Linked DNA regions of Rattus norvegicus. The protein of the gene in region 1 binds, or shares a complex with, the protein of each later gene. Links are inferred from orthologs where the notes say so. Each region holds a gene or a part of one and is shown on either strand. Other genes may lie near its edges.

Region 1 (4,352 bases):
GGAATTCATCCCTGATGTGCCAGCACCCAACAACAGCACACGCAAAGGGAGCTGATGTCAAAGCCCCAGGACTGACAATCCCCACTCCTCCTTTTTTGCTGGACTTTACTTACATTTCAAATGTTATTCCCTTTCCCGGTTTCCTATCCATAAACCCCCATCCCCTCCCCGCCTCCCTCATACGGGTATTCTCCCCATCCATCCCCCTTACTGCCACCTCCCCCATATTCCCCTGAACTGGGGGTCCAACTCTGGCAAGGGCTTCCCCTTCCACTGGTGCCCCAACAAGGCTATTCTCTGCTACATATGCAGTTGGAGCCCTGGGTCAGTCCATGTATAGTCTTTGGGTAGTGGTTTAGTCCCTGAAAGATGTAGTTGGTTGGCATTGTTGTTCTTTATTTTTATTTATTTATTTTTTTAAGGTTTATTTATTGTGTATATAGTGTTCTGCCTGAATATACTCCAGAAGAGGGCGCCAAGATCACATTACAGATGGTTGTGAGCCACCATGTGGTTGCTGGGAATTGAACTCAGGACCTCTGGAAGAGCAGACAGTGCTCTTAACCACTGAGCCATCTCTCCAGCCCGGCATTGTTGTTCTTATGGGGTTGCAATCTCCTTCTTCTAATTCCCCCCAAGGGGGTCCTGTTCTCAGTTCAGTGGTCTGCTGCTAGCACTGACTTCTGTACTGGACATGGTCTGGATGTTTCTAAATTTTTCATTTTTTTTTTCGGAGCTGGGGACCGAACCCAGGACCTTGCACTTGCTAGGCAAGCGCTCTACCACTGAGCTAAATCCCCAAGCCCTAAATTTTTCATTCTTTTTTTTTTTTTTTTTTGGTTCTTTTTTTCGGAGCTGGGGACCGAACCCAGGACCTTGTGCTTCCTAGGTAAGCGCTCTACCACTGAGCTAAATCCCCAGCCCCTAAATTTTTCATTCTTAATCCCCACCTATACCCCAAGGGCCTGGCTAGCCTAGTACTTACTATGAACCTCTGGCTGGCTGCAAACGTTTGGCAGTCTTGTTGCCTCCACTTTCTGAGTACTGGGATTACAGGCTGAACCTTATTTCTGTGTCCCTCCTACTGACACAGCTAACGAGTTTACTGAGCAGCAGACAGGAGGAACCTTTACCTCTCTGGACTGCAACATCCTTGCTTCTATAGGCCTTACTTGGAGCAAGGTTGTGAGGACGAATACATTTGTGGGCCAGCAATATGGCTTAGCTGGTAAAGGCGCCTGTGGTCAAGCCTGATCACCCGAGTTCAATCCCCAAGACCAACTCCTCTACCCTCCACATGCACACCATAGCATGTATACACACATTCCAAGTAAGTATAATTAAAAACTTTTTTAAAAAATAAGTTTCTGGGGTTGGGGATTTAGCTCAGTGGTAGAGCACTTGCCTAGCAAGCACAAGGCCCTGGGTTTGGTCCCCAGCTCTGAAAAAAAGAATAAAAAAAAAAAAATAAGTTTGTGTTCAGGGCTGTTGAAATAGCTCAGCAGGTAAAGGTGCTCCCACCAAGCCTAACAGCCTGAGTTTGATCCCTAGAACCCACATTAAAGTGGAGGATATCTGGGTGGTGTTGGTGCATGCCTTTGATCCCAGCACTTGGGAGGCAGAGTCAGGTGGATCTCTGAGTTTGAGGTCAACCTGGGCTATGCATTGAGTTCCAGGAGAGCCAGGGAAACCCTGTCTCAAAACCCAAAACGAAACAAAAGTGGAAGGAAAAACCAACTCCACAAAGTTGCCCTCTGATCTCCACATATGGAATCCTTCCCTCCACTACTGTGACTGCCAGGAACACCTCTACACAGACCAATCAGCCTCTGCCCGTCAGCGTGATTAAAACCTGTCACTCAAGCTACCTAAGAACCTAAGGCAGGAGGATTGCTAAGATGAAGTGCTGTGCCATCTTGATGGCCCTTATCTTTTTAAAGGTCGGGCTACACAGCCCTGGCTAGCCTGGAACTCACCCAGACTGGCTGCAAACCTCCACTTTTCCTCCCACCTCAGCCTCCTCAGGGCTAGGGTTCCAGGTATGCATCATCTTATGCCGTGTTAATTTGGTGTTGGGATTTGGGCACACTAAGCAAGTATTCTACCAACTGAGCTATAACCGACTCTCCCCTATTAGCTAAATGTTTTTGGAAACAGTCTCCCTATATATAGTCCTAGCTAGCCTGGAACTCACTATGAAACTCAGGCTGTCTTTCAAACTCGAGAAATCTTTCCTGAGCCTCCCGGCTCCGGGAATTACAAACATATTGTAATTACTGTCCCATTCAATTTATGCGGTGCCAAAATGGAACCCAGAGTTTCATCCATGGTAGCTAGGCAAGACCCTACCAACTGGGCTCCTAGTCCTGCTAATTACATTTGTTGTTTAGTACACAGTCTCGCTGTACAGACCCGGCTGGCCTCCAAACTCGCAGCGATGCTCCTGCCTGGGTTTTCAGGGTGCGGGATAGCAAGGATGTTAGCCTGCGGGAGCCACCAGAGTGCCAGGAGAACGGCCTCACCACACACCTTGGCGTCGAGCGTGCGCTTGAGCTCCAGCATGTAGGAGAACTGCTCCGGGTAGATGTAGTCGTACGGGAAGTAGACCAGCAGCCCATCCACGTTGAGCCTGGCGGCGACGAGGCGTCGGTGCCTGGTGCTCTCGAGCCGCCCCGGCCTCCGCGCCGCCCGCCCGCCTCCGTGGCGTCTCCCCGCCACGGACCCCGAAGCCACCCGGACCGGTCTCCGTAGCCTCTCCACGCCGCGACCTGGCCCCGGCTACACCCACCGGCCGCCCCATCGCCCACCGCAGTGCCGACCACTCTTCCCGAGACCCCATCTCACTTCATGGCGGCTTGTCCCGGCGTCCACTCGCCCGCCTCCTGAATATTCAACGAGGGGGCGTGACCTAGAGCACCACCTTCCTCGCGATGCCATTGGCTGAGTCTTCCCGTCATTCCTCCAATCGGAAAACTGGCGCGTGCGCATAGCGGTGAGAGGGCGGACTCCGGAGAGAAGCGGTGCCCAAGGCATCGCTGAGGATCGCCGAAGACTTCGAACAGAACACAGAAAGTAGAATGTCGAGAGAATCGTTACAGTTCATTGACGTTTGCTCCTCCTGGTTCTGTCCTGGTTGTCCAAGTCGGGAATAGAGTTTAGGAGAAAATAACAGAGGAATTGGAAGCTGTTCGGAGCCTTTAAGTTACAAAGGCGAGATTGTACCAGACAAGCACGATTTATAAAATACTGGTATCCAAACTTAAGACAGGAAACCTAAAAACAGCTCCTCCTATTTATTGAACTCTTACTCTAGCAAGATTCTACCACGTGTTTTTTAAGCATTCATTAATATGGGCTGGAGAGATGACTCAGATATTAAAGCTTAGGCTCACAAACAAACAAACAAAAATGCATTAATTAAGGGCCTGGAGGAACCGCTCCGTAGTTAAAAGCACTTTCTGATCTTGAAGAGGATTAGGGTTTCCAGCCCCCACCCCCCCACCTCCAAATCAGGCAGCTTACGATCGATCACCTTTAGGACTAGCTCCATGGAATCCAATACCTCTGGCCTATGGAAGGAAGAGGAAATCTGCAGAATTTGGTTCAGCTCTTTCCTTCCACCATGTGTGGGAATTGAACTCAGGTCAAAAGACAATGGCGGTTTACCTCATGAATCTTCTCATGAACCCTTCCTGCTCTCTTTTTTTTTTTTTTAAGATTTATTTATTTATTTTATGTGAGTACACTGTCACTGCCTTCAGACACACCAGAAGAGGGCATCGGATCCCATTACAGATGGTTATAAGCCACCATGTGGTTGCTGGGATTTGAACTCAGGACCTCTGGAAGAGCAGTCATTGCTCTTAACCACTGAGCCATCTCTCCAGCCCCCTCCTGCTCTCTTTTGAGACTGTCTCACTATGTAACCCAAACTGGTCCGGAGGAGCTCACTCTGTAGCCTGGGCTTCCCCCCAACCCCCCACCCCTACTCGTGACTCACCCACCTCAGACTCCTGAGGGTCAGGATAGCAAGGCTAGACAATGCTGTCCGTTATTTCCTATCTCTGGATCCCTGCTCAAATGTCACCTTCACCTTTTTCTTTCTTCCTTTGCTCCTTCCTTCCTTCCTTCCTTCCTTCCTTTTCTTTTTCTTTTTGAGACAGAGTCTCTCTATTTAGTTCTGACACTGTCCTAGAGCTTACTCTATCCACAAGGTTGACCTTGAACTCACAAAAACCTTCCTGCCTCTGCTTCCACAATATCTGGCTATTTTCTTTTTTTTTTAAAAAAAATAATTATTTTATTTTTGATGCGTGCGTTTTGCCTCATGCATGTATGTGCATCAAGTGTGT
Region 2 (3,198 bases), on another chromosome or scaffold:
GGCCTCAGACTGTGTAACAGAGGACGACCTGATTGTGGACTCCTTTCCTCCTCGCCACTGCCTTCCAAGTGCTGGGATCCCAGCTGCCTGCTGGCTGGCCTGCGTGTGTGGTGTACAACTGCAGCGAGCCCCAGCAATTGCCTCTTGGTCTTTTGGTTCAGATCAAGTCAGGGAGCTCTAGCAAAGCAGGGTTTCATTTTAGTGGGCATTAAGAGGCAGCATTAATGCCAGCAAGTGTTGGTGTTGTGGAACACACCCTTAGTTCCTGCCTTCGGGAGGCAGAGGCAGGTGGAGCCTATAAAGTTCAAGGCTAGCCTGGTCTACATAGTGAGCTCCAGCACAGCCAAGAGAAACTCTGAAAAAAGATAAAGAGGCCAGCAGAGGCATCTGCGCTGATGGTGGTTGCAACTCTTCTTTAGCCTCCATCTTTTGTCTGAGGCAGGATTTCTCTGTGTAGACCAAGGCTGGACTCAAAGTCAGATCTGCCTGCCTCTGCTCCGAGTGCTGTGTGCAATTAAAGGCGCGCGCCACCGCTGCCGGGCTAGCCTCCAACTTTTTAAAACTTATTTTGTGTTTTTTCCTTATGTGATTGCCAGTGCCCTCTATGGTACTGAATTCCCTCCAACAGCAATTATAGACGGCTCCCATGGGACGTGGGTGCTGGAGACTGAACTTAGATCCTCTGTAAGAGTCGTAAGTTTAAAAAGAGGGAAAAAAAAGCCTTGTTCCTGACTGCTTTGCCTTGTTAACCGGCTATGCTTGTCACCCGTGAAGGCCAGAAGGCATCAGGTCCTCCAGAGCCGGATGCTTGTCAGGTGCCGTGGAGCGAAGGCTCTTCTCTAGCTCAGCCTGCAGCCTAGGAAAGGTCTGTGTATGCGAGTGTCTGAGCTAAAGAGGATGTCGGCAGCCATGAGCCGCTTGCTTAGGCTCTGTACAAGGGCAGTAGGTGCTCCACCGCTGAGCCATCTCTCCAGTCCAGTCTGCCACTCGTGTTTGGGGGTCCTAGGGGGTGGATCACCTGGGACTGGGTGAGAGGTGAGCCACCCACTACGTGGGTCCTGGCAGAGCAGCCAGTACTCTTACCCACTGAGCCATCTCCAGCCCCCACTTCCACAACTCTTCACAAGGTTGGCTGGGCCTGCTTGCTGTACCTAGGGATGGGGCCGTTGGTTTAGGTGAGGCCTGCAGACACGGTCATGGGTTCTCAACTAATGTGGTTCCCAGACAGGGTCCTTCACCCTTGTAGACACAAGGTTCCCATATGGTCTTGGGTCCCTGTAACTTGATTTTCCCCACTCTAGTGCCTGGAGGGACCTCAGGCCTCATGAATGTTAGGCAAGTTACTCTACCATGGCGCTCCATCCCCAGCCGTGTCTTAAGACGGGCTCACTTAGCGGCCTAGGCTGGCCTTGAACTCCCAGTCCTCTGAGCTGCCAGAATGAGGGCCTGCACCACTCACTTATTCCCAACTGCGCGTGGGGGGCCCTTGGTCAGCACGGCTGCCAGGTTTGACCTCCCTCCCTCACTGTGAACTCCGCGTTTCTCAGGCAGCTGTTGAAGGACCCGCAGGTGCTGTTTGCCGGCTACAAAGTCCCTCACCCCTTGGAGCACAAGATCATCATTCGTGTGCAGACCACCCCAGACTACAGCCCCCAGGAGGCTTTCACCAATGCCATCACAGACCTCATCAGTGAGCTCTCCCTCCTGGAGGAGCGATTCCGGGTGAGGAGCAGGGGTTAGGCGGACACTGGTGGGCTGCTGCTGTGGCTGTGCGTTATGCTGTGTCATTTAGTAGTGGAGCTGCCCCAGCACTTAGAATCCCCGTGACATGTATGCTGGGGCGTAGCTTGGTTTCATGTTTACCTAGCACCATCAAGGCCTTGGGTACAATCCCTAGCACCCCGGGGTGGGGTGTGGGGTGGGGGCTGTCCCTGTGCCACTGGCTACTCTGGCTCATAAGGCCCAAGGACTCCAAGCCCTTGTCTAGTAGCCTAGCCATTCTTCCCAGGGTAGGAATGACAGTTTAGTCAGGTGCCCTCAGTGTAAGGTAAGCCACACTTTTTGATGCTTCACCCAATTGGGTGTGTCCCACACGGCTCCATCCCCGGCCCTCCGCAAGCAGATGCCACAGAGCAGGGTGGGTGAAGTCTGCTGAGGTATCTGGAGCCCCTGGTCTGCCTCCTGCTATGTCCTCTGGACCAGAGTCTTGGTGCCCTGCAGTCCCGATACACTAGGGTGATTCCAGCATAGTCACTGCCTTTGTCCTCCATCAAGGTGGCCATCAAGGACAAGCAAGAAGGAATTGAGTAGCAGCTGAAAGAAGCTCAGTGGCTGTAAGGCTGGTGCGTGTATCTGCCCTTCTCCGTCCACCACGATGGCGACAGCCACTCTCAGCTCTCCAGCTGGGCACAGGACACTGTCCCATTCTGTACATAGACTGTTATTTTCCTAATAAAGTACAGCAAAAGAGGGGCTGTGCGGCATGTGGCCTGTCACTGAGACCCAAACCACAGGCTGGGCAGAACCTGGGACTGCTGGGCCTGCCTGAGTTAAGCAAGGTAGGAGCCCCAGTGGAGCCTGTGTGACTGCACTCACTTCCGACAGTAGAATTTAATAAAAAATACTCACTGGTACAAACCCCTCTAGCACTAGGCCCAAGCTAATAAGCCATGTCCTGACACACTGCCTTGGGCGGGCTAGCATGTCTTCCAGATGGACACGATGTTGGAGTCCGTCAGAGCAGTGAGGTAGGTGAAGGCTGCATTGGCCACGACTGTGTTTACCATGGTCTTGGTCACTGGTTGGCCCAATGCTACTGGCTGAGGCCACTTCAGGATCTTAGGAGGGAAAAAGCAAATGCTAGGCTCCTGCCTATCCCACAGCAGCCAAGGGGTAACCAGGGTCTGCAGGGAGCCAACGTCACAGCAGTACCTGTGTTGGGGGCTGCAGAGTTGTTTCAAGTGGAGGTGGCTGCTTCAGTAGGTGTTCAACATCGTAGATCCACACACTGCCTTCCTCGTCTCCACACAGCACGAGGTTTTTGTCTGCCAGGACGAGCGGGAGCCTGAGATGGGGCCGGGCGAGGGCAGGGGCGGGGGCAGGAAGGGAGTGTAACGGGGTGGGCAGGCTCACCAGGACAGGTGCTCAGTGAGAAGTAGGCCAGGCTGGTGGGTGACCACTGCAGCTGGGCCAGGATGA

What was found.
Region 2: Ercc2 (region 1) and Polr2j share a complex: the UniProt entries of both Homo sapiens proteins name them as parts of the TBP-based Pol II pre-initiation complex. The link is inferred for Rattus norvegicus from reciprocal best matches to the Homo sapiens genes ERCC2 and POLR2J.

What each region holds. Positions count from the first base shown.
Region 1 is NC_086019.1:88,159,869-88,164,220, reverse strand, and holds the start of Ercc2 (general transcription and DNA repair factor IIH helicase subunit XPD), read right to left. Parts: upstream 2,880-4,352; 5' UTR 2,850-2,879; coding exon 2,845-2,849; intron 2,630-2,844; coding exon 2,530-2,629; intron 1-2,529. UniProt on the Homo sapiens protein: ATP-dependent 5'-3' DNA helicase. Component of the general transcription and DNA repair factor IIH (TFIIH) core complex, not absolutely essential for minimal transcription in vitro.
Region 2 is NC_086030.1:26,179,083-26,182,280, reverse strand, and holds the end of Polr2j (DNA-directed RNA polymerase II subunit RPB11-a), read left to right. Parts: intron 1-1,547; coding exon 1,548-1,722; intron 1,723-2,274; coding exon 2,275-2,310; 3' UTR 2,311-2,632; downstream 2,633-3,198. Other genes in the region: Lrwd1 (leucine-rich repeat and WD repeat-containing protein 1), read right to left, coding at 2,697-2,837, 2,932-3,044, 3,133-3,198. UniProt on the Homo sapiens protein: Core component of RNA polymerase II (Pol II), a DNA-dependent RNA polymerase which synthesizes mRNA precursors and many functional non-coding RNAs using the four ribonucleoside triphosphates as substrates.